Mus musculus: one gene and its partner. The protein of the gene in region 2 interacts with the protein of the main gene of each other region in a pairwise test. Links are inferred from orthologs where the notes say so. Each region holds a gene or a part of one and is shown on either strand. Other genes may lie near its edges.

Region 1 (3,807 bases), on a different chromosome or scaffold from region 2:
CCTACATGTGCTCTGGGCAAGGATTCTCTCCACCAGCCTAGGACTGACTAAACTGGATATGCTCCTTCTGGCCCTTGTGGAAGGACACAAAGACTGACGCCAGGGCCCTATTAACCAAGCCAACCAAATCATTATCCTTCGTGCCAGTCATAGCTAGCAATCAACAAGCAGGTCTGAAGGGCTTGTGGCGTTTACTAAGCCCACAAGGAAGCTCTGGTCCAGGAGCATCTCCTCCTCCTAGAGGCTCAAGTGTTTGTCCCTCACCTAGGTAACTGCAGTAGAGGCCGACAACAGGTCTGTGACTGGGCCAGTTGGTCAGCTAAACCTAAACCCATCTGGGGCTGAGTTTTTGTTGCTGTGTGACAAATCAGTCAGCCACACCCCCACTTATTATCTTGGCTTTTCTGTCAATTGCTCTGGCCTGAGAAAACCTTTTTTGGTTTTGGTACTAGGAATCAAAAACAAGGCTTTGTGCATACCCAAGTGTTCCATCCATGGATCCCAGCCATTAATTCAGGCACAGGCTGTGTTCTCATTTGAAAGCGAGTCCTCTTTCAAGCTGGCACAGTGATGACAGAACCAAGCTCCTTGCTGTGGGGCTGTAACCACCACCACCCCACCACCACCCTTTTTTTCCCCCCAAAACAGGGTTTCTCTGTGTAGCCCTGGCTGTCCTGGAACTCACTCTGTAGACTAGGCTAGCCTTGAACTCAGAAATCCGGCTGCCTCTGGCTGCCAAGTGCTGGGGTTAAAGGCATACACCACCACTGCCTGGCTCCCACTTTCTTAGTAGGGCTAAGAGGTACACACCTCCTAAAACTTCACCACTAGCTTGTGCACAGGCAGCAAAACAAAGCCTTTGTTTTCTAATTCTTTTAAAGGATCAAGAGAATGGGCCAAGGATAATCTCCCGTCTAATTAACTTTAATCAGCAGGGACTGTGGGTCCATCTGTAAAACCCTTTCACTTAGCAAAGCCTCTTCCACTCAGAAGAGAAACACCAGAGGTTTTCAGGGTTTGCTGTAATTGGAGGGGAGGTAACACAAGGCAAGGGTCACTGGGGTCAACAGAAATTCTGCTTCTCAAAGGGCTTTTCACCACACCCATAGCAGCAGAAGCTAGCTAAGCAGATCAAGTAACAAGGACAGGTAACAGCAGGCATGATGGATAACAGGGATGTGGGCAGAGGCAGGAGGGAGACTGAAGAGGGCCTCCTGCTCTGATACTTCCTGCTGCTGGTCCAGCCTGCCCTAACCTGCATTCTCCACCTGGCTCCTACAGGAGGTGAAGACAGATCCTAGTCCTAGCTAGTGGGCAGTTCTGGCCCCACTCCTGTGTGACGATGACTTCTTCAAAAACAATTTTCATAGTCCAAGCTGAATGTGGATGGGTGACAGACAACCCTTCACTACCACACACAGACACAAAGACACACTCACAGTAAAAGGGAGACATAAAAACACAAAAGTTTAATACCATTTAACAGAAATGACAACAGGACACAGATACAACACTACAGTAAAACGGGGTGAGGTGAGAAAGGCAGAGGGACACAAGATGGATCACAACTGGGGGAGTGACTTCTTTGGTGCCCCTGAGGCCCTTTGACAGCTAACCCATGGCTCCAAGAACTACATCCTGAGGAAGTCCAGCAGGTGGCAGCATCACTGAGCGGAGCCTGGAGCTTACTCAGCATAAATACTCAAGGGTGGAGAGGGACAGCACTGTAACACCAGGAGCAGAGTTCCTTAGGCGCATCCACCCTCTTCCCCTAACACTAAGAGACAGGTCCCCTCAATCCTTGGTCTTTCAAGACACAGCAGCACCCCACCCCACTGCCCACAGCAGCTTCGCTCGCTCGCTCGGCTGCAAGCCTCTCCCTGTGAGTGTTTTCAGAGCGCCTGAATCCAGAGGTGGGAGGAGGCCGTGGGAGGAGCTGAGGACAGGAGTTGCTGGAGGAGGAGGTGTGTGGGCTTGAGGTCCCTCCTAGGCATCCTGGAGATTGCTATTGCTCAGGAGCACCTGCTCGCCAGGCTTGAAGGCTGGCATCCCGAGGTAGGGGCAGTTGGCACAGCGGAAAGCGTCACCCAGGTAGCACTGTGGAGAAACAACAGTCACACAGAGAGGCTAAGGGCCAAAGGGAAAGGGCACCTGCGTACACCCACGGGTCTCTTGTTCTATGAAACGTCAGTCAGTACGGGCGCCAGCCACGAGAGTTGGTAACACAGCTGTACTGACGTACTTGGGAGGCTGAGGCAGGTTTATGGCCTGCCTGAGTTATGTGGAAGCCCATGGGACGGAGGAGAGGTAGCTCAGGCAGCCTCTGCTACAGGAGATCACAGCAAGGTCAGCCAAAATAAAAACTGATAGCCACTGTCAGCCTGGCATGAGAATGCCGATTCCCTCTCGGGATAACCTCTTCTCATTACAGCTGCACTCGTGGCCCACTATGACAACACTCAGTGACAAATCCCTTAAGATCAGCTACTCTGTGTGCAGTTAGGGTCAGGGGTTGGTGGGTGTCAGGAGGTGCAGTACGTACATTTCCACAGGCTGACTTGGGCTGAGAGCTCTGCGCCTTGGACTGCTCCCGCTCCAGTTCCTCTGCGAGGCCACAGGTGCTGGGGACCCAACAGAAGCATCAAATCTCTTACAGTGCTATCATACACCTAAGACTTTTCTCTTTTTACATAATGTCAAGTCAAGTGTTACAGAAGCAGCAGGCTAGGGGTGAGGCTGCTGGGGAAGACAGCAGAGTGGAGAAGGATAGGGGAGCTGTCCTGCTGACTTCTGTGGGAAGCAGACCCAAATTCATGAGCAGAAGGAGCTGAGCCCAGTGGTAGAGCACTTCCCTAGCAGGTGTAGGACCCTGGGCTGTATGCCCAGCACCACAAACATACCAAAAATAATTAAACACAAGAAAACCTGGATTTTCACTTGAAATCCTCTCATTTGATGTTGGCAAACTGGAATAAAGCCAAAGGTGGTGGTGCAGGGCTGAGACCCCAGCACTGGAGAGGTCAGCAAAGTTACAACACCAAGCTCCCCGTGAGCCTGAACTGTAGTGTGAGACTATCTCAGAAAACAAACAAACAAAACAACAACAACAACAACAAAACCAAAACCAAAACCAAAAATAGGGCTGGAGAGATGGCTCAGCAGTTAAGAGCACCGACTGTTCTTCCAAAGGTCCTGAGTTCAAATCTCAGCAACCACATGGTGGCTCACAACCATCTGTAATGAGATCTGATGCCCTCTTCTGGTGTGTCTGGAGACAGCTACAGTGTACTTCGATATAATGATAAATAAATCTTTTTTAAAAAGTATAAACAAACAAACACACAAGCAAAGAGCCATAATAACCACCAGTGGATGAATAAACAAGCCAAGCCTGTCTGGCACTAGTAGAAATACCAATGCAAAGCTTCTGTGTTAGGACAGAGTGACACAGGGACCTACTATTTCACGCTTTTCAAACTCCCCCCAGCACTACAAAAACAACAGCAGTACACAATTGGAAACTAGGGAAACAGCAAGACTCAGCTTGACAGACAAACCACCACTCCCACCTCCTCCTGAGCCTTAAGGTGCGGAAAAACTGGTAGCTTACATAGGAAGACTTGCCCTGAGCAACCTTATCCCTGTAGAAGACACAAGGCTCTGAAACTTAAGAGCTTTCCCACCCTCAACATCTAGCTAGGCTCCCTTTAATAAAAGTGAATAAACAAATACACCTAGATGCTCACCTATATGATCAGCTTGTTTTTATTTATTTTAAAAGTTTTCAAAACAGTCTTGCTATATAGG
Region 2 (3,807 bases):
GCCCTTGCCTTCTCCAATGAACAGATCTCAGGATAAACAGAATCACTGTTGGAATCACACATTTGTGTCCACTCTCACCAGCTGGACTACGAGCTGGCGGTATAGCCCAGCTTCTGCCTGTGGCCAGTGAGATGACCGCCCATGGCAAGCACATAGGGTTCTTTTCACAACTCTTTCTGCCAGGCCAAGCTCCTTCAGAGGCTGTCCTTGTGTCCTTGGCTTTAGCTAATATCTAGGCTGCAAGGGTGTGTAAGCACTCTGGCTGGCGTAGGCTCTTAGGCATGTATAGTCTTGGTATTGGTGATAACAAGTCTTTGCTGATTACCAGAATCCAAGCGTGCATGGACTTCAAAGCTTGGCCAGCATTCTGGGCTCTGCTTAGTGGGTGGAACGGTCTAGCAGCATGAAGAGCACCCCTAGTAAAAGGAGCGGCATGAAGATGACCACCAGCCCGAGCAGTTCAAGGACCAGTAGGCTCAGCAGTGACAAGCGGCGGGCACAGGGGCCACGTTCCCGTAGTGCCCACAACCAGGTGCCTAGGCTGGGAGGGCAGGGCAGGAAGGGGAGACAGCTTCGCCCTCCCACAGGCCCTGCCAGGAAGCGCAGCTGGTAGCGGTGCTCTAAGGGACCCCAGGGCCAAGGGCCAGGATGCAGGGCTGTGACGGATGCAGTCCGCATTGGGCGCTGGGGTCCATCAGCTCGAAGCAGTTCCTCCTGCAGCTGACAGATCTCCCACTCTAGCATAGGTGTCTTCTGACGACACAGTGGACAGCACACACGGCCCAGGTCAGCTCTGGGGGTCATGCCTAACAGCTGGTGTAGGCAGCCCACACACAGGCTGTGACCACAGTTTAGCAGGGTCAGGTGGTGCTCACTAGGCCCATAAGGCTCAGCACAGATGGGACATTCCTCCTCCTCCACAACCTGCCCCTCACCTTCCTGCTCTTCCACAGTTGACTCCAGGGCCCTGGCAGCGGATGGGTCTCTGGCCTCCAGTTCCGGTTTACTGTCTGGAGTTCTGGCACCCAGAGGGGCCCTGAGATCATCCTCTCCATCTGCTGGTAGCTGGCACAGTGGGTCCAAGAGCTCAGGACCCAGAGAAGCACCGGGTGAACTAGTAGACACAGAGCTGGTGTCATTAGGTCCCAGGTTACCACTAGAACAGAGGTCAGGATGCGTAGACGGAGACTCCAGGATGACTGCAGGGATTGTTGTAGATATGAAGGTGTGGCCCTCAGGAGCCAGGCAGAGCTTGGCCTCCACCCATCCACCTGAGCACTAACCTCTAGATAACCCTTTCGGCTTGCTGACCTCACTGGAAGTAAGCTTCACTTGGGTCCCCGCAGCATGTCAACTCTTGGTATCTGAGGCCTAAGAGTGGTGTTGGTCTGGTCCCTGTTTTCCACAAGCTGACAGACAGAACCGAGGTTCCTTAGCGCCCAGCTGCCCTTGGACCTGTCTGACTGCTCCAACAGGGTTTCCTTCCCAGCAGTGGAGGCCCTGCCCATGGGCGGGCCAACACAAATCACACCCCCTCCACCTGATCATTCTTTCAGTTCTTTGGAAAGAATAGTGCATGCTGGCTCTTGGCTGGGACTTCCAAATAAATAGCTCTCTAAGCCCTCTCTGCTTGGCCATGAGAGAAGGGTATATGAGCTTGGCTGAGTTGTGTGGCCATCAGAGAAGGGGACTAGCTTGGCTAAACTGTCAGTACAAGCCTGTGCTCATGCCCTGGAGGGCTCTTTGCCCACCACTAGCAGATGCAGATAATCCATGTCCCAACCACCACTCTCAAATCTAGAAGCAATAAAAGAGAAGTGAGCGGCTACCCAGGCAGTTAACTCATGTTTATGGACCTGCAGACAGACAGATTTGCCCATTCCCAATGCTCAGGAGACTTGGTCCCTGGTGGCTTTTCAACTGAGCTGAGCTGCACAGGTGTTATGGGACTAATGGGAATAGCACGGGGTCAGACGGGCAGTGCAGCCCGCACAGCTCTATGTCCTTTGGAGGGCTTAGCAGGCCCTTGGTGGTAGGGACTATAAATGCAGATTTGGGGCAGAATGAAGGGGTCTGAGAGAAAACCAGGAGTTCTAGCTGCACCGGGGCTGGGCCTACGTATGGGACACTGGGTTCCACTGAGTTTGGCTGTACGCAAGGACTGCCCTCCTGGTCAGCTGGACCAAAAAAGCGAAACTGTGGGTCTACCCAGTGTTCTGGGATTAGAAGGCAAGAGGTAACAATGGGCCTTCTAGACTCCAGCAGGCTACCCAATGCAGCTGTTAATGTGAGTGTGAGCTAGCAAGTGGCTCCTCAGGCCCAGGTTTCAGTCTGGAAGCGCAGTGTCTGCTGGAGCCTAGCAAGGTAGGCAGATGCATCTGCAGTGGAGAGTCGTCCTTCTTCTTGAAAAATGGACATAAGGGCTTCCGAAACATCCGTAGGCAAATATTTAGCATTGCTGGAAAGGCAGGCCTCAGAAAGCTCAGTGATCCCGATTCCCAACCCTTACTACTACCCTTCCCTAAAGGCTGGTCCACCCCCCGACATTCCCAAGTTTGCTCACCCTGCTAGGTAGAAGTAGGCACCTTGGCCATCCAGCAGCTCCCAGACAAGTGGCCCCAGCTCTCGAAGCCGGTGCTGCACATATACCTTCTGCTCCTGCAGGTGTCAGAGGCTAAGTTTCAGCCATCCCAACTCCTGTCCTATCTAACTTGAATATACTCACCTGCTCCCGGGAGAAGGCTGTAACCAGGGTCAGCCAGCCCTTCTGCTCTAGCTTCTGCCATTCAGTCTGCCAGTAGAAGTCCTGATCCCGCTGGCGGCAGCCAAAGAACAAGAAGTTTCCTGGGGTACATAGGGCGGTCCCCGTCTGGATGCAGAAATTCAGCTAGACCAGGCTCAGTGGTCAGGTCACACTGCTTTGGAGCTCCAGTACTCACCAGTTTGGCCATGAGCCACTCGTTCCTGAATGGCTGCTCGGAAGGGGGCCACACCAGTTCCAGCCCCCACCATGATAATGGGTGTGTCTGGTGTTTTTGGGAACACGAGGCTCCCAGGACGTACCCACAGAGGCACCCGGACAGGTCCTGCTGCAGAAGGGAAATGGCATGTAGGAGGTCAAAAGACAGTGCTAAGGTGCTAAGTGCTTGAGCTCCTGGGGTAGCAGGAACAGGGGAAGATGGGCACTTGAGGCTATACTCTCTCCCAACCCCGAGCCCCAGAACTATGGATTTACCTTGCCCAGGATTCAGGGATGCTAGCCAGGAGGAGCAGAGACCATGGCGGGGCTCCTTCAGACGAGTCTGGTACTTTACCACAGCCACAAGGATCTGTAGCCTCCTGGGATGAGCCTATGGACACAGTGATGGCACTGCCCTGCTAAAGCACTCCTGCCTACTACCAACCCCAGGAGGGACAGTCCCTGGTAGAGAGGCAGCCCCCATCTACACACGCCCTACCCAGTCCCAGTTTTTTCAGCCAGTCTTCAGTTTTACTCAGAGTCCCTCACCAGTAGGGAGGAAGCAATGGAGAAGGCCCGTGGGCGGATCCGAGGGATTAGGTCCAAAAGGTAGTCTGGAGGAATGGCACCCGCTGTATGTGGAAAGTCGCATAGCACCTGGATAAATGGAGTCTTATTGTGTGGTGGTGTGCACACCACAGCTCGGCAGCCCATACCCACCTGCCTGCCCACAGGCCAGCCCACCTCCAAGATGGTTCTGCGGGGCCGACTGCAGTACTCCCAGAGCTCTTCCTGACCTCTGGCAGAGCTCAATTCCAGCAGCTTCTCTCGCTCCAGCGCATGTTGGG

The links.
Region 1: the proteins of Ndor1 (region 2) and Ciapin1 interact in binary tests that used the Homo sapiens proteins (3 or more experiments, as listed by UniProt). The two-hybrid records come from large-scale screens. The link is inferred for Mus musculus from reciprocal best matches to the Homo sapiens genes NDOR1 and CIAPIN1.

What each region holds. Positions count from the first base shown.
Region 1 is NC_000074.6:94,821,111-94,824,917, forward strand, and holds part of Ciapin1 (anamorsin), read right to left. Parts: intron 2,622-3,807; coding exon 2,543-2,621; intron 2,098-2,542; coding exon 1,987-2,097; 3' UTR 1-1,986. UniProt on the Homo sapiens protein: Component of the cytosolic iron-sulfur (Fe-S) protein assembly (CIA) machinery required for the maturation of extramitochondrial Fe-S proteins.
Region 2 is NC_000068.7:25,245,397-25,249,203, forward strand, and holds part of Ndor1 (NADPH-dependent diflavin oxidoreductase 1), read right to left. Parts: coding exon 3,704-3,807; intron 3,617-3,703; coding exon 3,509-3,616; intron 3,351-3,508; coding exon 3,236-3,350; intron 3,090-3,235; coding exon 2,940-3,089; intron 2,845-2,939; coding exon 2,726-2,844; exon of another isoform or gene 2,659-2,725; coding exon 2,564-2,658; intron 2,459-2,563; coding exon 2,314-2,458; 3' UTR 1,410-2,313; coding exon of another isoform or gene 1,313-1,409; 3' UTR 1,200-1,312; coding exon of another isoform or gene 861-1,199; 3' UTR 839-860; coding exon of another isoform or gene 788-838; 3' UTR 754-787; coding exon of another isoform or gene 379-753; 3' UTR 1-378. UniProt on the Homo sapiens protein: NADPH-dependent reductase which is a central component of the cytosolic iron-sulfur (Fe-S) protein assembly (CIA) machinery.